Linked DNA regions of Pelodiscus sinensis. The protein of the gene in region 1 interacts with the protein of each later gene in a biochemical or structural test. Links are inferred from orthologs where the notes say so. Each region holds a gene or a part of one and is shown in the gene's direction. Other genes may lie near its edges.

Region 1 (7,667 bases):
GGCGAAGGAAGCCGTGCCAGGGCCCCCCTTTGGCCCTACTGGGAGGGCGGTGGGGATGCCCGCTGGGAGCGGAGAGGGAGGGTCTCTGTGTCAGGCGGGTAACCTTGTTTGTGCCGTTCCTGGCCTGGCCAAGGGGGTGGATGGGGCTGAGCCCTGACCCGTGTCCGTGCCGAGCTTGTGGGAAGCGCTTGAGTCGCAGGGAAGCAGCAGGGCAGTCCCAGAGGCGGCCCTTGTCGCTTTACCTAGAGCGGTGAAAGAGGAGAGGGAGTTAGGTAACAGAAATGCAACATCCCTCCGCGCAACCGGGCAGGGGTCCAGGGATACCCCAAGCCTCCCCCGCGATAGACGTGACCCTGCCGCCTGCCTTCCCCACCCTCCTTCTATGGGCAGGGGAGGTACTGGGCTGCTTTGCTGCAGCTCGTTGTGGGGCTGGAGGGACAATTAATGCTGTTACTGCCCAGCTTAGAAGTGCCTGCAAATCTTTCTGGTGCTGTGTAACGTCTGACTCCTTCAGTGGTTGATATTTGTATTTTAAAATGTCAGTGGTTTAACAGAATATGCAGAAGTTATTTGCTGTTGTTATAAATGCTATCGTGAGCTACAACAGCATAGTGTGTGTTCCATTTACTGTAGTGACTTCTTTCTATTTACTGATCCTTATTTTAATAACAAAATAGGTGTCTAAATGGAACTACATTAAAGGCATGCATTTTGCTGTACGTCCCTTTAAACAAGATTTAGTTAAAACAATCTGTCAAAATATATGAACAAAAATTAGTACATGAATTTGTAACAGAATGTTCAAATCTGACAAAGTCATTTTCAAAAATACCGTGATGATCTCCTATTCATATAGGAAATCATCAGAATGGTATTCTTGGGTAGCTATCCAGGTTATACAATTATGCAGAAATTGGCTCACTAGATTATGCTGTCACATATTTAGTATATTTAACATATGAATGAATGGATGGATAGCACTTCCAATAAAAATAGTGCAGCATTTATATTTTGCTTGTGCTACTAAACAGTTTTGTTGGGGAAAGAATAAATTGATTATTGATGATGTCTTATAATCTTTCACAAATTCATTGAGGTTTTTATTAAATGGGATTTGATAAACTAATGTTAATCTACTACATTTGAACTCAGTTAATGTATTTCAGTGTTTTCCTAACTTATGGTCTAATGAGCTGTAAAGGCTTGACCAAAATGAAAACTGTTCATGGTCTTTTCTTTATTTTTGGGGAGGAGGTGGCAGTAGCTTACTTAGACTCGGCCCTAAGACATGAGTGAAATGAGAGGCCAAAATACATGAAACTCCTATTACTTGTAAGACCAGTTGATTTTTTTTTTAGCACTCTTATGCCATTACCTCTCTTCCCCATGTGGTGGTGTGTACAATAGGTTAGACTTCTTTATAATGGACTGATTCTGCAAACACTCCTGGATACAATGTGCTTTGTGGAGTAGTGCTTATGGCCAGTAATGTTTTTAGTGTTACATAGTTATACATGTGATCATAATGCATATATGTGAAGCTATTCATATAGGTACGAATTTGCAACATCTAGGGCAGCGCTAGGCATCACAGGCTAGTGAGTGGGCCACATGAGTGGCTGTCCATCTCAGTGGGCTGCGAAATTTTTGTGACAAAGATAGTCTCTCAGTATACGGTAGTTTTGCTAACTGCACTTGTGTACCTAGAATTTGCAGGATGCGTCAACAGAAACGTAAGAGTGCTTTGATTGGATGCAGAAGAAGCGCACTGCTTTCACAGTCAATGTTATGTTCAATCAACTTGCTCCTCACTTCACATGCCTTTGTTTTACATGTGTATCACTTTAGTAATACTGATAGGGGGGAAAAAGACACCAAAAGAAACCAGCAGAATTTGACAACTCTGTGCATGAGCAACAGTAAATGCAATGTCTTGCCAGCAACATACAGAACCCTAATGGGCCTCATATGGCCCTCAGGTCACAGGTTGCCCACCACTGATGTAGAGTGTGCCTTCTTGGAGTAACTTACCAATTGTGGGCTTCAGTTTGTTTCTTTGAAGCTTAAAGGATATGTTGGGGTAGCAAATGCAATCCCCGGGTTACATGGATCCGACTTACATCGGATCCCTACTTACAAACGGGGTGAGGCAACCCCACACTAGCTACTTCCCCCCAGCAGACCAGGGAGATGCGAAGCTAGCACCCCACCCCAGCAGACCAGGGAGACGCAGAGCGGCTTTTCTTAGCAGACACGTCAGCTTGAGAATAAAGGACTGAGGGAAGTGAGGTGTGGGAGAATAAAACTGAGTTCTGGAGAAATGTTTGGCTAGAGTTTTCCCCTACAATATGTACCAGTTCCGACTTACATACAAATTCAACTTAAGAACAAACCTACAGTCCCTATCTTGTACGTAACCCGGGGACTGCCTGTAGTTTTTAAAGTCTTACATTAAAAATACATTAATGAAACAAATAAAATGTTAGCAGATTTGCACACCTATTTGAGACCAAACTTGAACTCTGTTTTGCCTGTGCTACAAGGGCACCGTGGAAGGATCCAAGATAGAGGTGATCCACTTTTTCTCAGATCATGGAAGGACTCATGGAGACATAGTTGTTTCGTTGTTCTCTACTAGTCTTGTCCTTAATTGCTCGCCTGACTCTTTGAAAAACACTGAAAAAAGAAAAAAACCTGTCTCAGAATTCGGTGCATGAATGCTGAGTTGGAATACCCTGCCATCCTAATCACCTTCTTCCCTCTCTCCTGAAAAGGAAATAGTGGAGCCTGAGAGATCCTTCTAATGTTTTCAGTTTTGTACTGTGATTAAAACAGGGATCTAGGGGATGAGTCTTCCTCACTCATTGACGACTTTGAGAAAAGAGGATAAAGCTTGACATAAAATTGTTTTAATATTTAGAAATTAACACATTAAACAGGCTTCACAAAACAAAAATTGATATACATTTAGAACCAAAACTAGGTGTTGAGTGCTGCTTTAAGATAGCCACTTTAAAACTAGGATGCAGAAAATGAAGCCAATGGGGGGAGTAAATAACTTTTTAAAAAAAATGCTTAGTTGTAATTTCAGTACTTTACTTGGCCAACTTGGCAAGCAAGTATACCACATGGTTGCACCAAAATATGAACTTTGTTAGTAAGAATACTGTTATAGTTTTTTTAGTAATATTACCTTAAAGTATGTAAATTATAAGTTAAATCTCTTTTTAAAACCCAACTGTACTTACTGTGTGTGTGTAATTTTTTGCATGCCTATTCAAAGTCTTCTCTTTCCAGAGGGATCAGTCATGTTACTCATGGTACTGTTAACCACTCCACTTTTTAATTAATGACACTTTCAGAAATTCGTAAGAAATTTTCACTGGATAGTTGAGACAGGTTTGTAAAATACTATTGCCAGTGCTAAATTCAAAATTTTCTGGGTTGTGTGTGATGCTCAGTAGCTTTTGCAAGTTTTAACCTTTTCATTAATAAAAATTAGATTTCAAGCTCTTATGTTTGCAGTTGATGCAGTGCAGTCTTCCTGAGTTTACAGGCAGCACCAGTGCTGTGGCTGCTGTTCATATCTTTTCTAAACAACGGAATGAAAGTAATGGTCAGTTTCACTTGTTTCATTACTGGTCACAGTGTTCTAAATAGCAACAATTAAATTAACAAGAATCCTGTTATTTTTTTACTCTGCTGCATTTTGTGAAAGCCATAAACAAGAACTGCCAAATTAATTCTATACCAAAGACTGAATTCCATGTTTAATTATGATAGTGGCTCAGAATATAAATTTATGACTATATATTATCCTTACTCCACAGTCAAATTCCCACAGATGGCAGTGGGCGATTTTCACAAAGAATCATTGTGGAATATGGCCCAGTGTAGTAAATAAACTTTTACTTTTATTTTTAAAATTGTAATATTCAGTAAGAAGGATTGTTTTTTTTAAATACTCTTCTTGAGGATCACCACTGTTCCTTGGGTTTTTTTCTGTCTTCATCACCCTTCTCCACCTCATTTCCCCTCTTATCTGTTCAGCTGATCAGCAGTGAAATAGTTAATATTGACTATTAAAGTGAGTATTGCCCACTGGCATTAACTCTTGTGTGTGTAACAAATGGCAGCAGGGGAGTTCACATTTCAGACTAGATCTACACTAATCCCAGCTAAGTCAATAATGTAGCTGGAGTCAATGTACCTTAGGTCAAGATACTGCGGCGTCTATCTTGAATGGGGTTGATGGAAAACATTCTCCTGTTGACTTACCTTACGCTTCTCATCAGGGATAGCATATAGGGGTTGACTGAAGAGCGATCTGTGGTCAATTTGATGGGTCTTCACTATACCCACTAAACTGACTGCCAGTGAATCGATCTCCACTCTTGCAATACAACTGTAGTGTAGATACTGCCTCAGGCTTTGTGTACACTAAGGGGAGGAGGGGACTGGATTACACAACTACAGCTACATGAATATAATAGTTGAAGTTGATGTACTTAGATCTTCTTACTGCGGTGTCTTCACTCTGCTGTGCCAATGGGAGAACTTCTCCCTCAGACTTCACTTATGCTTCTCAGGACAGTGGAGTATACAAATTGATGGGAGAGTGCTCTTCACCCGACCAGATAAATTGACTCTTGCTGCATCAGTTGCTGCAATGCCTATCTAATGGTAAGTGTGGACTAGTCTTTATTTTGGGCTGTTTTCAGACTCTCTAAAAGGCAACACTGCACTAGTTACATGCAGGTCACATTTTGAAAGCCACCTCCTTCCTCCGTCTCAAAACATTTTTTGTGTGTGATTGTAGATGTATATATTTTTTTAAAATAAATTATCATGACTATTAAGGCTGCTATAAAAAGAGGTGGTATTTACTAAGGAGCAAAAGGAGTGGACACCCCACCAAATAACCTTGAGAGATATGGAAGAGGAAGCTCCTTCCTACCAGAAAAAGAGGTACTCTAGAATAATGGTTCTTGAGCAGGGGTCTGGGGCTTGATGGCGCTGGCTATTTCCATGTGGAGAGAATCATGGTTGCTTCTCTCCAGACTCTCTCCTGAGGCAAAGCAGTCAGTGAAGGTTCTCCGCTTCAATGGGGGGAGGGATAGCTCAGTGGTTTAAGCATTGGCCTGCTAAACCCAGGGTTATAAGTTCAATCCTTGCAGAGGTCATTTGGGGCAAAAATTTGTCAGAGATGGTACTTGGTCCTGCTGCAAAGGCAGGGGACTGGACTTGATGACCTTTCAAGGTCCCTTCCAGTTCTAGGAGATAGGCAATCTCCCCTAATTAAATGGGGTGGCCCTGTGAGAAGGAGATTCTAAGCTCCATGGACTAAAAGACTCTTTCATGACCTTCCACACCCTCAGCCTGTAAGTTCTGGGCCTGGCTCATAAGAAGTTCCATCCTCAAATCCTAGTATCTCCGTCTTTCCAACCTTGAGAGGACTCAAAAAAAAAGGGGGGGGGCACATTTGCTAGGGAAGAGAGAGTCTGTTTCACTCTTCCACACATCCTGGCTCCTGGCTTCTCCCATTCCCAGGCCCACTTCTAGCACCTATTTTGAGGGTACCTTCAAGGACGACGTACCTCTGATATTGCCACATCCTTCGTCTTGTAACATTCTCATACCATCTCCATCCTTTCTTTCCAGCCTGGTGCTTTGTCACTTCAGACTGGTGGGTCCTCAGTGTAACGTGGCAGCGTTGTATCCTCCAGCTCTTGTCTATCCCCCTTTCCCGCTCCTCTCCCTGTCCCTCTTCAAGGACTCTTCTCATGAGCGGCTCCTTCTGCAAGAAGTTGAAGGACTTGTTCAGATGAGGGTCAGTGTAGGAGGTTCCAAAGTGCTACAATAACCAGGGATTTTATTTCCTCTACTTGCTCATCCCCGAGGCTACAGGATGAAGGGGCACTTCAACCCATTCTGGATCTGCATGATCTGAACTGTTACCTGGTGAGGCTTAAGTTCTGCATGATCTCCCTGGCCTCCATTATTTCTTCCCTGGATCCCAGACATTGGCACACTGCCCTCGGTCTCAAGGATGCTTACTTCCATGTTGCCATTTTTTAGGGGCTCATAGAGAATTTCTGTGATTTCTGAAGTGCACTAGGAATGTTATTGTGTAATTGAATAGTTTTGTAATCAAGTGGATTTTATCAGTTACACAGCTATTTGATAGTCTCTGTAGTGGGGAGGAGGGCAGCAGCCAGTGTGTTCCAGGCTCCACTCCTGGGGAGACCCCTGCCATCTTACATTGCTGCCTTTCTCTCAAGGACACCAGCATGGGGTGGCAGGTGGAGTTGGTTTTGTTAAAGCTGGCTTCTGCCTGCCACTCTGTGCTGCTGCCTCTGCTACAGGAGCAGCAGCATGGGGTGGCAGCAGCCCCTGTCCAAGGGGGGGTCCAAGCTCCCCATGGACAGAGGTTGCTCCGGGGCAGCAGCCCCTATCCACAGAGAGCTTGGTATGCCCACAGCCAAGGTTTGCTGCCATGGACATAGGCTGCTCTGTGGGATGCTGAAGCCACCTCTGTCTGTGGGGAGCTCGGACCCCTTGCAGATGGGGACTGCTGGCATGGAGCAGCTTCCCCTGCCCTCCCTAGCTCTGCTGCCTCTTGGGGACAGGCAGTACCGTGGAGCTATTGTTGGGGGGGGGGGGGGAGACCATCTTTTAAGCTGGCTCCCCCAAGCATTGGCTCCTGCCAGCCTTCTCTGCATGGCTTCTGTAGGAGGCAGCAAGGTGCGGGGGAAGCGGGGTCCATAGAGTCGACATGTGTGGGGAGTCTGCTTGAAAGCTTGTCCCACCTGCCCCCCTCACCCTTCATGCTGCTGCCTCTCAGAGGCATCAGTGAGAGGGGCTGGGAGGGGGGAGGGAGGTTAGGCTTATCCAGCTTCTCATGGGCACTGGCTTCCTCTCCCTGCCTCTGATACAGAGGCAGCAAAGCCAGGGGGTGGGGGGTGAGGGGGAATAAGCAATAAGGCTGGTCAAGGGGGACTCCTAGTCCAATGTCCACCTGCATGTGTATCTTCTGCTCTGCCTATGCCACCAGCTTGGTCTGTTGATGAATTCAGAAAAGTCTGTTAATGCTGATTCAATGCAGAGAGTTTATGGAGCAGAGCTGGAGTCTGCTCTGGCCCAGGCCTTCCTTCTGCTGGATGGCTTTCATGCTCTCATGGACCTCGTGACCCATCCGCATACTAGGAATGTGATTGTTTAACTGTTACCCAGGGACAGTGTCCTGCTTATGGCCCACTGTGAGTGGAGGGCTGCTCCCGCCCTGCAAGGCTACTGGCTCTTAGCTCATGTGGTCTGGGAATCAGCAGCCTCGCACAGGGCCGCAACCTTCCCTCTTACCCTGCTGCCACTTCTGGCCTGTGTGGGGGAGCCATCTTCCCCCCCACCCCGACCAGCCATGTGTGTGGCTGCCGACTCCCAGCCAGGGTGAGCTGGGAGATGGAAGCCCAGCGCAGGTTTGGAAGCAGCTGGGCTGGAGCAGCCCTTGCCTGTGGTGTGGAATCCGCTCCAGCCTAGCCATGGCTCCTACCTCCATTTAATCAGTTAGCCAGTTTAACCCAAATTGAAATTTGTGTACTAATTAAATGAGATTTTACTTCCCTACTGTGTGCTTCATGGAGCACTACAGCCAGAATATATCTTCCATT
Region 2 (7,605 bases), on another chromosome or scaffold:
TTATGCTTACCACTTAACCTTTTACATCCCTAGTTTTAACCCTTTTTAAAATTAAATATACAAATGGTTTTTCAAGTGTAGAGCATTGTGCCTTTCTTATCAGTAACTAAACACATTGAAGGTCTTCCTCACATATTCATATCTGAATAGTTACCATGGGGATAAACAGTTATTTTCTATGTATGTTCTGTTGTAGAGTATATTAAAACTAGTTAACAGTCAGTGAAATACTCTGTGTTTCAGAGAAACCATTACTTATAATAATGGCAGTAATTACGTTATTTGAAATTATGTTCATTTAAAAGAACTTCTACTGATTTCCACTGCCAATTTGTCCTTAAGCATAAACTAATTTCTAACTTCTATATGCCTAATGAAAGCGATGAAAATATCTTAGTAATTATTAAAGGTTTGTATTCATGATATTCAGTTGATTAACAATAAATACTTTGATTTCATTCAACTTTTCTTAAAGGGGCACTGCCTTTTGTTAACTTATATTTCATGAATTAAAACGCGTGCGTGCGTGTGTGTGTGTATCTATAGCTATCTGTTTTTCTATCTATATCTATATCTATATCTCTATATAACCATTGTATAACAATGGAGGGTTTAATTTATTTTTATATAAATGAAATCAGTTGCTTGTTTGAAATTAAACAGCCCCCTCATTGTCTGCATCTAAACCTTGCATCTGTGGGCAAGACAGATTAAAAAACAAACATAAAAATGACTAGCCTATTTAATTGTCAGTGGTGAGTGCCATGCCAAAAAGAAAATGTTACTTTTTAAAAAGTACTTTACTTGTGCTTCAGTAAGAACTGAAGTACTGGGCCAATTTCTAGAAGCATAGAGGCTATGCTTTTTCGGAAGACTTTTTTTTTTGAACGAGATCTTCTTTCGGAAGACTTTTTTTTGGATGAAATCTTCTGAAAAAACTTCTTCCAAAAGAGTGTCCACACACAAAAGCACATGGAAAAATCAATGTGCTTTTGCAAAAGAGAATGTCCAGACTGATTGGATGCTCTCTCACATATAAGGCCATCCGGAACCAGTTCAGGCAGGGCTTTAGGTCACCAGTTGCTTCCGAGTGCTGGTGCCAGAGCCTTGCAGAGACAGGAGCTTAAAGGGACCCCCCCGGACAGCCATTTCTCTACTTCTGCTGCGTGATTGCAAGGGGAGTGTCTGGCCACAGTGGGATCACCTCATGGGTGGCAGAGGAGATGGGAGCAGCCTGGCCCTCTCTGGGGTCACACACACACCTGCAGCTTGCAGTGCTGTCCGTGGGAGCAGGTGTTGCCTCGCACATGCAGCACTCAGTCTATGTGGGGTCATGCCTGCACCCTTCTGGCTAGCCTGCTTCCAGCCGTGGCAGGCCTCCCCGCCCCATGGCAGGACATGTGTGGCCTCCCCTGTGCCTGGCAGCAGGATCCCATCTATGCTCAGGGACTGCCAGCTGCATCCACGTGTCACACACTAATGCTGCACGTGGTTCCGCAGCACGTGTCCATCCTGAGCAGCCCGAGCGATACCCCCTCACTCCCTGTGTGCCTGCCTTCCCCGCCTTGCATGTGTGACAAAGTGAGACCATTCACCTGAAGATCCCTCCCAGGCATCAGAGGAGGCCTGGGAGACATCCTGGCTCACGAGCACTGGCTTGAGGGACAGGGTGACAGTCTCAGTCTCCTCCTCCGCCTCCAACTGGCCCTGGTCCTCCTATGCCAAGACCTCTGGCCAGGCAATGACGGGGATCTCCAGGCCGGAGTCCATGAAAATGGGTGGGGAAGACGTTTCCCCCCCCTCCCCCGGGATCTGGTAGAGCTCCTGGTAATAGGGGCAAGTGTGGGGTCCTGTCTCTGAGCGCGAGCTGCACTCTCTGACCCAAACATATGCTTGGCAGAGCTCCTTATCCTTACTGTGAACCTGTTTCAAGGCCAGGGTTGGTGTCTATGCTCCGCCAAGGACTCAGCCATCCACTCATATATGTTGGCATTGCAGCACTTGGCTCTGAGATCCTGCAAGGTGTCCTCCTCACCCTACAGCTCGAGGAGGGAGAGGACCTGCAGTCCAGGCCAAGAGGGTGTGCGCCTCTTGGTCCCCGTGGATGGGTCCTGGGACCCCTGGAGCTGTTCCCTGCGAGGGCCAGGGTGCTTGCAGGAGGCTTGTGGCTTGGACATAGCTCTCCCTGCCACAGCATTTGGAGTTATGTGGTCAAGGTGCTGCTCCAAGGCCAGCTTCCTGCCCCAAGGCTTGTCCAGGGTGCCTGGAGACAGGAACTATAGAGTTCATAAAATCATTGAATCATAGGACTGGAAGGGACCACGAGAGGTCATCGAGTCCAGCCCCCCGCCCTCAAGGCAGGACCAAGCTCCGTCTACACCATCCCTGACAGATGTCTATCTAACCTGTTCTTAAATATCTCCAGAGATATTTTCAGAGTTGTGATTCTTTGGACAGAATGTCCACCAGGGCACCTATGTTATTTCCTGGAGGCCTCTTCTTCCAAAAGAAAACCCTCCCCGTCCACACACAGCTTTTTCTGAAAGAGCTCTTTCGGAAAAAGGCTTCTTCCTCACAGAAAGAGGAGTACCAACGTCAGAAAAAGCTCTCTGTTCTTTCAATTTACTTTTGGAAGAACACAATTGCAGTGTGGATGTTCCGCAAGTTTTGTCAGAAAAATGGCCATTTTTCTGACAAAACTCTGTAGTGTAGACGTACCCAGATAGAGGGTGAAGTATTAGCCAGTGTTTGGGAGGTTATCAGTTTTGTTTAAAGCTGCTGCTGACTAATTTAGATTTAATTTGTAATTTAAAAAGAAATTGAAAAGTGTTCAAAGCGCCTGTGAGAGCACATCTTATGGTTCAACATCAAAATAAATTGACATTTATAAACAGTTTTAAAACCCATACAAACAGAATGGTTAATAAGGGGCACATGAAGGGCATTATAGTTGAAAACAACCATGGCAAAATACGCTATACATTCTTATATATAAAGACTTGAAAAGCCTTCCATTACATGAATTATTTTAAAATTACACTGGAGAATTAAATTTAATACAAGATACTTTAGAGAAGGATGCTGAAATTAGATTGTGTGTGATCCTTAGCTATATTTATAGGGTTGGGATTGAAATTAGTTCACATTATTCTGAATGCTACAGACTGAGGGGAGTAACCTTCTCTCCTTTTGTAATAACAAACATCAAGTGGCTGACTGTTCCTAAAGAGACAATTTGTGTAAAGAAATGTTATGCTAAATTCTTTCTTGGTTCTGTAATTAACTTCCTACATTCAGACTTAGTAACACCTCTCTTGCTGGGGAGAAAGTGCCTGAAATAAAAGGAAGGAAAGTGCAAGGTTGACCAGAGACTAATTTTGAAATTTTGTCTGTCAGTAAATCCAGGAGTGGGATGGATGCCATTAACATTTCCCAAGGATTAGTGAGTATCACTACATCAACTGTGGAATATAGAACTGGCTTGGGAAAAGAAAAGGAGGAATTAGGATTTATTTATAGTATCTCACTTTTTATATTCTCATATGCGGTATGATACATTTAACTTATAACTTCTATTGCAGGTATCAAGACAGTCTTTTCTCACCCTATTGTGCAACATCCACTGGATTTCAACCTTTTTTCATTGGCGGTCCCCTAAAAACATTCCGAAGGAGGTGGTATGGACCCTTTTAGAAATCTTAAGAGGCTCTATGGACCACAGGTTGAAAAGCACTGGTCTACACGTATACTTTGTTTGAGAGAGAGACTCACTCACTCTTTTTTCTTTCCTCCTTCCTTCTCTTTTGCTCTGTTTTTATATCATTTTCCCAGACTGTTGCAGAGATGTGTATGGTAATGCTGGCTGTGCTTGCAATTTAACACGAAGTCTGGAGTAGGAGGTGCTTTCAGGACAACAAAAATCCCCCACCCCCCCAAAAAAAACTAAACCAAACCAACCCCCCCCCCCCCCGCGCGCTTGAGAATGTTTCTTAAGCTCTTTGAAGATGAAAAGATACTAAGGATGGGTATTTTAAAATGTGTACTGGAGCCATGCTTCCCTAAGGGACTGTAAATAATAATTAAGTCTGAAGTGGGCCTCATTTAGTGCTTACCAGCACTTGTTCAAAGCCACTTTCACGCTGCTGCCCAATCTTCCTCGATCTCGCTGAATATTCAGACCTGCACAAAATCATCCAAGAGCACTTGTTACCCCAGCCCCAGGCGCGGTTTGCTCTGGGGTTGAAACTGATCAACAGTTTGCAGCGTGCTTCGGGTACCTGCTTCACGCGGAATGCAGAGCTGTCCGCCCCTAACCTGGCAGGGAAAGGAAGGGCCGCGACCCTCCCTTCGGGCTCGGGTCCTGGGCGCACCACTTAAAACGTGCAAAGCGCCTTGTTTCCAGGGGCCCAGCCCCTTGGCACGCTCTGGCGGCTAGGCGCGGCAGACACGCTCCCAGCCCCAGGGAGGCGGGGCGAGGGCAAGGAGCGCGCTTCCATTGGCGGCCCAGCCCCGCAGGGCCAGCCCCCTTGTAGCCGGCCAGGGTGGGGTCGGCTGAAATAGAGGCGGGCATGTGTCACTAGTAGTGCTACCCCGGGCCAGGTGGAGCGGCGGGAGGCTGCGTGCAGGACGGTGCCAGGGGGTTGCGGGCTAAGAGAACCAGGGCAGCGATTTTCTTCACCCTTCCTCCCCCCCCAGGCCACAGTCCCGTGCAGTGGGGGCAGGTTGCGTGCCCGCTCCGGAGCGATCCCGCTCGGGCATGGCCACACGGGTGCTGCCCATGAGCGCCCGCCTGGGTCCCGTGCAGCAGCCCGACGAGCCGGTGTTCGCGCAGCTCAAGCCAGTGCTGGGCGCCCGGGAGGCGCCGATGTTCCCGCGGGAGGAGCTGAAGCAGCAGCAGCAGCAGGCGGGCGGCGGCGGAGCCAGGATCCCGGCGGAGGAGATGGTGCAGGTAAGAGAGGGGGAAGCCGCTTGGGCGGGTCCCCTACTGGCGGCGCCCTTGGGCGCTGGAGCCGGGCTTAGCCCGCAGGGGAGCGAGAGCCAGCCCTGGGTGAGGCAGGGTCGGGGGATCAGGGCGGCTCCCGGCCATCGGGAGCCATCGCAGGACGGAAGCCCCACCCGAGAGGGGGATAGGACGGAGAGGGGAGCTCCACGCTGCCAGAAGCTGGGTTCCCCGGCTGCGTCGCGCCTCCAAGGGAGCGAACCTCTCTCCTTCTCCCTCTTGGGTGGGGAATCCGCTGCCGCCCTTCCGCGGCTCCGGGGAGCTGCTGGAAATGGGGCCGGAGAGTGACCTTATCGGGGCGCCGGCGACTCGAACTTGCAAAGCGCTACCGAGCGGGCAGGGGAAGAGCCGGCCGGGCCCGGGAGGGTGTTGAAAGCTACAGCTGCTGCCCTTGCACTTGCCCAGCAGCAGAATTAGCGCAGCCGCCTGTCTCTCGCCCACGCACGGTCATGTTAGACTGGGAGGGGGGGGGGGGGCTGCAGAGACTTCTCGGGACTTTCTGAGTGTCCCAGAAAACTGTTTGGCAACAGAGCCACATGCAAACAGCTGGACGAGCTAAAATCAGCCAGCGCCAACCGCAGCCTGGTTTTAGCGCAGGAGCGGGCTTAGTTTGAGGCTATTTCCAGCGCTGGGCTCTTTCACTGAATAGTTTCGTTTGCGGTTTATTCTAGTGAGCAGCCTCGCGTGGCACAAGTGGCATTATATAAACGGAACAGGCAGGCCTGGGAGCTCCAGAGCCGTGTGACAAACCTCTGCACAGGCACCTTCCAAGGTGTATTTAGGCGGGGGCGCTGGCCCGGGATCTCAGCCCGAGTCGCCCAATCCCTAAGCCGCAGGGTTACCAAGGTTGAGGAAGAATTCTGCTGCCGAGAATTGATAAGCAAGGCAGTGAATATTAGTGGGCTGTATTGCAGTGCTTGTGGCTCAGCGTATCTCTCTTCAAAGACTACATGTTTCTGTCTTCAAAGCAAACTGGCCTTGGCTTGTAAACAAGAGCTGGAAAAAGTAGCTTAGCACGCTAAGGACAGTTCTAGATCAAAGCAGGCGTTGTGTGTGTGGTGTGTCTTGTGTGTGTTTGGTCGTCTTTCAGAAGCTCTTGAATTACATTTTTTTAGCAGACTTTTCTTTCTATTTGTCAGATGCTTTCTTTTGGGGGGGGTTAACGGGATTTGGCATGACTGGACTTCTTACAGGGTAAGAGGGAATGTAACATTTGCCCATTGGAGAGTACATGATAAATGCTTTACTGATGACTGTACCAGTAATGCATCAGACTTTCGCCACCCACAGATTCCTACCACTACTGCACTAAGGGACTGATTTCCATGGTAGGAACTAAAGATCTTTGAGAATTGTGACATGAGTAGGAACATAGTTAACACATTTTTGACAGATTATAGACTTTGTAGCTCTTAATGTAGATTCTAAAATTCCAAAAGTATGAATATATATTATTTGAAATATAGCTTTGAAGTAGTCAGATGAAAGCATGGCTTTTGCAATTAACATTTCAAAGAAAAGTGTGTGAACTAATTATAAAAAGAATGGTGAAATATTCGAGAAATAACTGTAGAAATGAATTACATATACAGATTTTGATATGTAACATTATCTTATTGCAAATATTCTGATGAAGTATTTTAAATGATATACTTTAAAAATATTTTACTCTTGTTCTACATAAACTGTTGGTCAGCCTGACTCTTGTTCTTGGTGAGGTGTCTGAGTAAAATAACCCTGCTTTTATAATGGATATGCTTTGTTTCATTATTTTAACTATTTGAAGAGATGAGATTTACTTAGCTATTCCAGTAAAGGAGTATTTGGCGCCCCATCTTTCTCTGGATTGGTAACGAATCATGAATTTTTTTGTTTTCTTTTTCTGTTTAGACAAGATGTGAAATGGAGAAATATCTGACACATCAGCTTCCACCGGTTCCTGTCATCCCTGAACATAAAAAATACAGAAGAGACAGTGCCTCAGTTGTAGACCAGTTCTTCACTGACAGTGAAGGGTTGCCTTATAGTATCAACATGAATGTCTTCCTTCCTGACATTACTCACCTGAGAACTGGCCTCTACAAATCCCAGAGACCATGTGTAACCCACATCAAGACAGAACCAGTTACCATCTTCAATCAGCAGAGTGAAGCTACTGCCTCCACCCAGGCTCTCCCAGAGTTTACCAGTATCTTCAGCTCTCACCAAACTCCTGATGTGAACAACATTTTCATCAAGCAAGAGCTTCCTACTCCAGATATTCATCTTTCTGTCACACCCCAGCAGGGCCAGTTATATCAGCTCTTGAGCTCACCGGATTTAGATATGCCCAATTCTACTACCCAGGCGGCAGTAATGGACTCTCTTAACAATGTTTCCATGCCATCAGCTATGGCAGGCCTTAACACTCACTCCTCTGCTATTCCACAGACTACAATGAAACAATTCCAGGGAATCCCCCAATGCACCTACACAATGCCAAATCAGTTTCTTCAGCCACAGGCCACTTACTTCCCTCCTTCACCCCCAAGTTCAGAACCCGGAAGTCCAGATAGACAAGCAGAAATGCTACAGAATTTAACCCCTCCTCCATCCTATGCTGCGAC
Region 3 (7,719 bases), on another chromosome or scaffold:
CAAATTAACTGGTAATCAGAGGGGGCTGGAGCAGCTCCCCACCTTGTCCGGAGTAGCCCCTGTTTCTGGAGAACCCCGGGGGCCTCACAGGCAGGGACTACACCAGTGTCTGGAATAGCCTCTCTCCATGCGGAGTCCAGCTTGCTATGAACAGAGGCTGCTCCAGAGGGGACAACCCCACCGTGACCTAAAATTAACTGGTTAACTGATTAATGGGAATTTACATGCCTAATGAGATGTACTGGAACTGCATTTTTTGAAGTTACTGCAAAACTATTAAGTGTCCTCCATTTCCACATGTCATAATGACAATATGGAACTAACCATGTCAATTACAGGGTGGAGAAGTTCATAATTACCACTGCTGCTTGAAAGGTACATTTCCCATGGAGGTCAGTGGGGCTGGTCTATTTTATATGTAAAGCTACTGAGAAATGTACATGTCAGTACCATGATGGCAATGCCTGTTATGTAAATAATACTTAATAATACAGCCGGTCCCTGAGTTACGAATGAGTTACGGACCAAACACTTGGCCATAACTCGAAGTGTTCGTAACATGGATCCCATTGAGTTACATGGTGACTGCGCTGTTCGTATGCGCAGATCGCGTTCATAACTCGGGGACCACATTTACGACCGCTTTGGTTGTAAATGCGGATGGTCGTATGTGGAGGTGGTTGTAAGTCGGAGACCGGCTGTAATTGCCAAATGAGACCACTTCCCAACCTGCTTACAAAGGGCCTGATCCAATTTAAACTTTAAGCTAGCATTGGGCCAAAAGCAATCTGTTGATATTACCCAAGAAGATCCAGTTAACATTTAGTTACCCTTCAAAAATATAAGGGACCATCAGTAAAAGTTCCACTGCCTGGTAGAGGTGATTTTTGAAGAAAATTGGAGAGACTTTAAATTGACTTCTTCTAACAGCAGCATTTTCTCTCACTGGATGTGGGGTCTTTAGCACAGATTTCTCTTTGTGTGTCAGAATAACTCCGAAATGCATTGTCACTGCTAACTCCATTCAGGTGTAGATAACGTTCAGTCCAAAGACAGAACAAATCCCTTGAAACTGAAAGTCAAAACATCTCATCTCTTCACAAATCTCACAAAGAGCTTGTTCACCCAGACACACAAGTCATGACTAGGGTTGCCAGGTGTCCGGTATTGTACCGGACAGTCCGGTATTTGCGCACTCTGTCCTGTAAAAACCCCCCAGAAAATACCAGACATGTCCGGTATTTTCTGATTTTTCCGGCTGCGCACTGGACGGAAGCCTGGTGTGGACGGGGGAGCGGCTGGGAGTCCCAGCTGGGAGACGGGGCCACAATTGCTGCCTGGAACCCTCAATTGGTTGAGTGTGAAGGGGAGGGGAAGCCTCCTCCTCACTCGTGCATCGCTGGAAGCCTGCACGGGACAGGCAGCAAGTGCCCAGGTCAGTCCCGCTCCCCGCCGGCCAATTTGCTCACCACCCCTCCCTTCCCGGCCAGCCGGTTCTCCCCCACTACCCTTCCTGATCTTCCCCGGCCAGCCCCCCTGCACTACCCCCCAGCTGTGCTTCCCACCAGTCCGTTTCTCTTCCTGATTTCCCCAGGCCAGCGCCGCTGCACCTCTCCCTGCCCCTGCCAGCTCTGCTTCCTGCCCCCCTTCCTCCCAGCCCTGCCCCCGCTACATACCCCCAGTCAGCTGTGCTTCCCGCTCCCCCTTTCTCCCGGCCCCCGCTGCCCCCGCCCCCCACCAGCTCTGCTTCCCACTCCCCCTTCCTCCCGGCCAGCCCCGCCCCGCCCCTTCCGGCCGGTCCCCCCTCCCCCGACATCCCACAGCCAGCCCCGTTCCACCCGCCCCCCCACATGACCAGCCCTGCTTCCCATTGGCCCCCCATCTCCTCCGCCCCCCCTTCCCAGCCAGGCTGGTGCTCCTCCCCCCGCCCTCCAAGCATGTCCAGGGTTGTTTTTTGTTTTCTTTTTTAAATGATTAGCTGGTAACCCCTAGCAGTGATCCAGGTTCTCAGAGGGTTTTTTTGCTCAGTAACTTTGGTTTCCTCCCCCCCCCCCCCCCCCCCCGCCCTTTACTTTTTCCTGCAACAAATTTTTTCCCGGTGGGTTTTTTTTGGGCGGGTGTTCAGTGTTTTTCTTTCAGCCATCTGACAACCCTAGTCACGACAACTCTCTCTGTAGAGACACGATACATTCTGCCTTTCTGTAGCCGTGCCAAGTGTTTTCATGTGGTGTCTTAACACAATGTTTAAATCATCAACTGCTTGAATGAGGAAGACTCACAAAGAGTCTGTCCATCATCCACACCAAAGTGACATGGTGATTTCACTGCCGTGGAAGCAGACCCGATCTCTCTGTGGGTTCTTGTGGAGCAGCAGGAAGCCTGCGATGGTCTCTCAGGGGAGAGGCCGAGGGTGGCTCTATTTCAGTGGTTCTCCAACATTTTGGCCCATGGACTACCTGGCTCAATGTAAACCTTTCCATGGATCACCAGTTGCTAATGGAAACTCACTATTAATTACCCAATTACACCCAAGCCATTTTGGTAGTGCTGCAGCTAGGGAGAATGGTTTAATTTAAATAATTAAACAGATTAAGCATTTAACTTTCTCATTTTATTTTATCCAACTTCATTTTAAATAAAGTAAAATATTAATTTATGTCCAACACAAAAGGGTTCAATGTTTTCTTTATTTATGGCAGGGGTAGGCAATCTTTTTAGGGTCGGAGGCCACTGACACAGAAAAATCAGTGGGGGATCACACAAGTGAGAAACAAAAAACTCCTTCCAAAACCCCCAACCCTCACTGATGTGGCCCCACCACCTGAGACACCTCACTTTTCTGGTGCTCCAGCCTCACGGGGTGAAGGGAAGGGACAGGGAGGACTGAGGTTTAGGGCTTCCCATAGGCCAGATTTACTTTTCTGGGGTTCCAGACTTAGTGGATTTTATAGGCCCCCTTAGGCTCTGGGTTAGGGACAAAACTTAGGGGTTCAGTGTATGGGACAGGGCTGCTGAGTGGGACAGCAATGGGATGCAGGATCTGGGAGGCAGGTGGGGTACAGAAGGGGGACAGGTTGCAAGGGCTGGATGCGAGGTAGGATGAAGAAGCAGGCTGGGAGTAGGGTGTCTGGCCAGGTGGAGGGAGCAGGACCATGGGAGGATGCAGTCTGTGGCCAGGAAGGAGGGTGTAGGAGCAACGGTGGATGAAGGATCAGGGTGGGGGTAGATGTCTTGCAAGTGGTGAGGGTGCAGGAAGAAGGGAAGGTATCAGAGGAAGCTGGAGGTGCGGGATCTTGGCAGGGGGAGAGGGGAGTGAATGAGGGGAATTGGGATGTGGGAGTCTGGCTTCATCACCCCTGTCAGAAGGGAAAGGTTCTGGACAGTGCTGCCATTGCCCCAGCAGGATGAAGAGGAGGAGGGAGTTCAGCTCTCCCCTCCCCTACGTGGTGGGCAGCCCCGCGGAAGAGTGAGCGGCTCTGTGTGCTGCAGCTCCCCCAGGGGCTGGGAAGGGGCAGGGAGAGAAAGTGCAGCAGTGTACAGAGTGCCCTGGCAGAGACCAACCATACCCCACCCCACAGCGCCCCAGCCGGGCTCCACACAATTCCTGCCAAGGCTCAGGCAGCAGCTCCAAGGAACATCTTGCTGGGTTTTTCCTCAGACCAGCACCGCCCCCTCCAGCAGTGGTGGCGGTGGCAGCAGCCACTGTACAAAGAACAGTCTGCGGATGTAGGAGGCGGCATGGCCTGACCGGCGGCCCCGCACAGCAGAGACAGTCCTGTGGGGGGAGGGAAGGGTACTCTCGGAGGTGAGGGTTTGCCAGGTGGGAGTATGCACTGCAATGGAGCTCTGGAAGCAGCCCTGCCTGCCCATGGGCAAAGCACCAAGGGAGCTGCTTATATCCTGGGAGGAGTGGGGGGTTGCTGCTGTGCCATGCTAGCACTGTCTGCGAGGGTGTCCCAGTGGGGGCTGGAAATGGCAGAGCCATTTCTAGCCAGATCCAGCCGGGCTTTCTGGGACATTTCCCTACTTGATGGATAAGTGGGACAGAACATTTGAGTTTGGGACTGTCCCGGAAAAACTGGGCCGTCTGGTCAGTATAGCTATATAGCACAGGGGCTGGCAACCTTTTCAGATCACAGACTCAAACTACATCAAAATTCAGAACAAGTGGTCAACAAAGAGCCGTATCAGAATGCCCATTTGCATGACTGAAAATATACAAATTAATATTCTTGATAATTGACATCATGATTAATGACAGCACAAATGAAACATTGTACTCGTAGACTTAATTTAATGGGACTTCTGCGGCTGCTTCTTTTCGCACATTTCTTTGAAGTTTACATCATAACTGGTGAAATCCAGCTTCATGCTCCCATTCCAGCTACATAAGCAATTAGACGTTTGTACAATTTTGAATTAATATTTTATTTTGATTTTAAAAGTTGCCTGTATTTGGGGAATGACAAACGAGCCATACTTTGCTCCTACAGCATAACCCCTCGCTGAGGGACTCTATGGGGCCTACAGGTCCCATCATGCAACACGCCACCTCTAAAGGGCCCACGGGAACCACAAGTCCCAGCATGCAACACACCATGGCGGAGGAGGACCCAGGGAGACTACAAGTCCCAGCATGCTCCGCTCCCGCCGCCCGGCGGAGCCGCTTTGCATACCGGGCGAGTGAATCTCAGCGCATGCCTCATCCCACACCAAGTGGTCTCTCGCTGCGCAGGCGCAGTGTTGCTTGCATCCCATAGACCGAAGTCGGCCACAGCGGGAGGCCGGGAGCTCGAGGGGGCGGCGGCCATGGCGCTGAACAGGAACCACTCGGAGGGGGGTGGCGTGATCGTCAATAACAGCGAGAGGTGAGAGCCCCGCCCCCTTCCACCGGGGTTCTCCCCCCGGGAGCCGTTACCGCGGGGGGTGGGGTAGAGCTTGGGTCACGTGATTGGGCAAGGGGGGGGCTCTTAGGTCCCGCCCTTAAGGTGGGCCGTTGGGGGCGAGGGAGAGTCCCCCTCCCCCCTTCCCGGAGTGGTGGGACCCCCCCCCCCCCCCCCGGCCATGCAGCCTGATCCCCGCTTCCTGGCCTGGCCACAGCGCGCCCTGCGGGTGTACGAGGCGGCCGTTTACACGGTTACCCCAAACCGTTACACGCGGCTCCCTGGGGCGCCCGCTGCTCTTTTCTGTACCGGGGGCAGGAGGCGGGGCGGCAGCCGGCTCCGCGGGAGCGGGGTGGCAGGGGCTGGTGCGCCCTGCAGATGGCGTAAAAGCAGCTCTTGGCAGTGCTGGCTGCTGTCCCACGTGTAGCCGCAATGGTTACACACTTAGCCAGTTACACACATGTTAACATCCCTGTGCTCTAGTGCTGCTGGACGTGATGCCCATCTAGTGCCAGCGGCAGGGACCCAGGCGGATCCATCTCCTACCCCCTTGCCACGCTCTCCGCTGTTCAGCAATCTCCTACTCTCTGGAAGCTACCCTCTACTATGCTAGCGTTTGTGCCCACAAAAGCTCATGATACCCTCTACACGTTTTGTTAGTCTTTAAGGAGCTGTAACACTATTTGTTGTTTTTTAAGTTTTTCCTGTTACAGACTAACTCAGCTACTCCTCTGAAGCCTTTGCTACTTTGTTAGTGGATATTGTGCTGGAGAAAGATGTTGAGTTGGCGCCCTGGAGACTTAAAATCCTGTGTTGCCATAGAAGATGCTCAGTCTGGCTAGCAGCAGAACACCTTTCCCTGTGCTTCCCTGCCAGTGTGTGTCAGCTGTAACATATTAGGCACTTGTTCTGGCACAGCAGGGTAGTTCACTCCTCATGGCTGCTGACCTCTTGGACCTGACCAACACTCAGTTTTTGTGCAGATGTCTGCTGAGACCTGTTCTATGCATAGATTTTACTATTTCAGTTAGCAGTTGGATTTTACATTAATGTAATTTAATCCAGGTAACCCCCCTGCTATTGTGGACAGTTATACTAGCATAGAGGTGCTATGACTATGAGGTTAAGCTATATAAATATAAGGCACCTTTATACTGGTGTAACTGCAGCCACTCTAGCAAGTTGCACTGATTTAACTTACCAGTTTCTAAATCAAACTAAATCCATTTAAAAACTGTGTTGACAAGCCCAGAAACTGACCAAAAAGCCATTTGTGGTAATGCTTTTTATGATAGGGACACTTGTCTGCTGAGTGTTGGATTGAGGTCATCAGCTCACATTACATAGGCTCCCAAATAGTACACAAAACACTCCTCTGGATCAAGTTCTAATAGTGGGCCTCTTCTTTCCTTTGCTTGCTTGTAGCGTTTTGATGACCTATGACCACGTAGAAATTACATTCAGTGATATGGAACACGTGCCAGATGCCTTCAAAGGGACCAAGAAAGGAAGTGTCTTCTTGACTCCATTTAGAGTAAGTAATTAGTTTTTGTAATGGGATCAGATGCTTTAAATAGACAGTGACAGAAAATTTTTTCTTGTTTCTGCAAGTATGGTTAATCTAGGAGCTCTCAAAAATGGCTGATCTTTGGACCTCAGCAGCATCATGAATGCATTGTAAATCCTTGTCAAAAGACATAAATACTAATTAGTTTCTGTAAGCAGCTATATAGCCTGGTAGGGATCCTTAGGTTGAAATGCAAATGCTTAATGCATTAGTTAAACTATTAATCATAGCCATCCAGAGAGCAGCAAGCTCACTAGAAATCGGGAGGAGAGAGGTTTAGATCATGTATGTTTCTAGAAGGTACTTCAGCTTACAATCATTTTGCTACTATTCTGAAGGTCTGGTGACCTGCAGGGTTTATGAAGAGCTCCAGGCGTGGGAAGCAGTTTCAGCACCCCAAACTCCATCTTTGCGCAGTAAATTATCCCTATGTGCTGTGCTTGTTCTAAATGTGGCTTACTGTGAGTTTGCTCCTCTCCCCTGCAGGTTATCTTTGTGTCCAAGGGAAAGGATCCTATGCAGTCTTTCATGATGCCTTTTTATCTGTTGAAAGATTGTGAGATTAAACAGCCTGTCTTTGGAGCAAATTATATCAAGGGGACAGTGAAAGCAGAGACAGGAGGTATGTATTTTTTGGTTACAGTAGTGCAAGGATAGTTGCACAGCGTCAGATTCAGAGAAGTATCAAGTTTAGCAATAAGCTAAAATGGGTGGTATCCATGTGGATACTCAGTGTTCAGTACTTTTAACATGTATGTATTTCTTTAAAATCTGTAACCAAAAATGCTTCTCCTTTCCCTTTCTCCAAGTCCAGTTACAATGAGTTGGTCTGTTTCAGAAACCAATCTAATTTCTACTCTGTTCTGAATGTTAAATTTTACTTGGCCGAATTATCTCATTCACTAAACATCCATAAGAGGATCATAACAGAGAGAAGGTCATGCTAACAAGGCTTTTAGGCAGACGAGGGGAACTATGTCCTGAAGGGCACATCTGGCCTATCAGACCCTTCAGTGCTGCCTCTGAGTTCCCATCGGGAAGTGAAGTCGGGATAGCCTTGCCAGGAGATCCCAGCCCAACTTCCAGGCAGCATGATGAGCAGGGGTGGCTAGACCCTGCCCCCCCCCCTTCCTTCTAGCTCCTCTTCCCACAGCCTAACCTCCCCCAGGACCTGGGCAGTGTCCTGATGCTTCCAGCAGCGAGGCAGCAGCTCTGGACGAGTGGCACAAGTGTTGGATGGGGGCCAGTCAGAAGGGCAGGGAATGGGGA

The links. The genes of interacting proteins can lie anywhere in the genome.
Region 2: of the proteins of WWP1 (region 1) and KLF5, one has a biochemical effect on the other in vitro, tested with the Homo sapiens proteins (4 studies listed by BioGRID, with this or other methods). The link is inferred for Pelodiscus sinensis from reciprocal best matches to the Homo sapiens genes WWP1 and KLF5.
Region 3: of the proteins of WWP1 (region 1) and WBP2, one has a biochemical effect on the other in vitro, tested with the Homo sapiens proteins (2 studies listed by BioGRID, with this or other methods). The link is inferred for Pelodiscus sinensis from reciprocal best matches to the Homo sapiens genes WWP1 and WBP2.

Annotation. Positions count from the first base shown.
Region 1 is NC_134712.1:45,701,747-45,709,413, reverse strand, and holds the start of WWP1 (NEDD4-like E3 ubiquitin-protein ligase WWP1), read left to right. Parts: upstream 1-4,661; 5' UTR 4,662-4,680; coding exon 4,681-4,683; intron 4,684-7,667. UniProt on the Homo sapiens protein: E3 ubiquitin-protein ligase which accepts ubiquitin from an E2 ubiquitin-conjugating enzyme in the form of a thioester and then directly transfers the ubiquitin to targeted substrates.
Region 2 is NC_134711.1:268,922,435-268,930,039, reverse strand, and holds the start of KLF5 (Krueppel-like factor 5), read left to right. Parts: upstream 1-4,585; 5' UTR 4,586-4,756; coding exon 4,757-4,948; intron 4,949-6,173; exon of another isoform or gene 6,174-6,324; coding exon of another isoform or gene 6,325-6,327; intron 6,328-6,889; coding exon 6,890-7,605. UniProt on the Homo sapiens protein: Transcription factor that binds to GC box promoter elements. Activates the transcription of these genes.
Region 3 is NC_134730.1:11,160,452-11,168,170, forward strand, and holds the start of WBP2 (WW domain-binding protein 2), read left to right. Parts: upstream 1-4,699; 5' UTR 4,700-4,809; coding exon 4,810-4,868; intron 4,869-6,308; coding exon 6,309-6,417; intron 6,418-6,936; coding exon 6,937-7,072; intron 7,073-7,719. UniProt on the Homo sapiens protein: Acts as a transcriptional coactivator of estrogen and progesterone receptors (ESR1 and PGR) upon hormone activation. In presence of estrogen, binds to ESR1-responsive promoters. Synergizes with YAP1 to enhance PGR activity.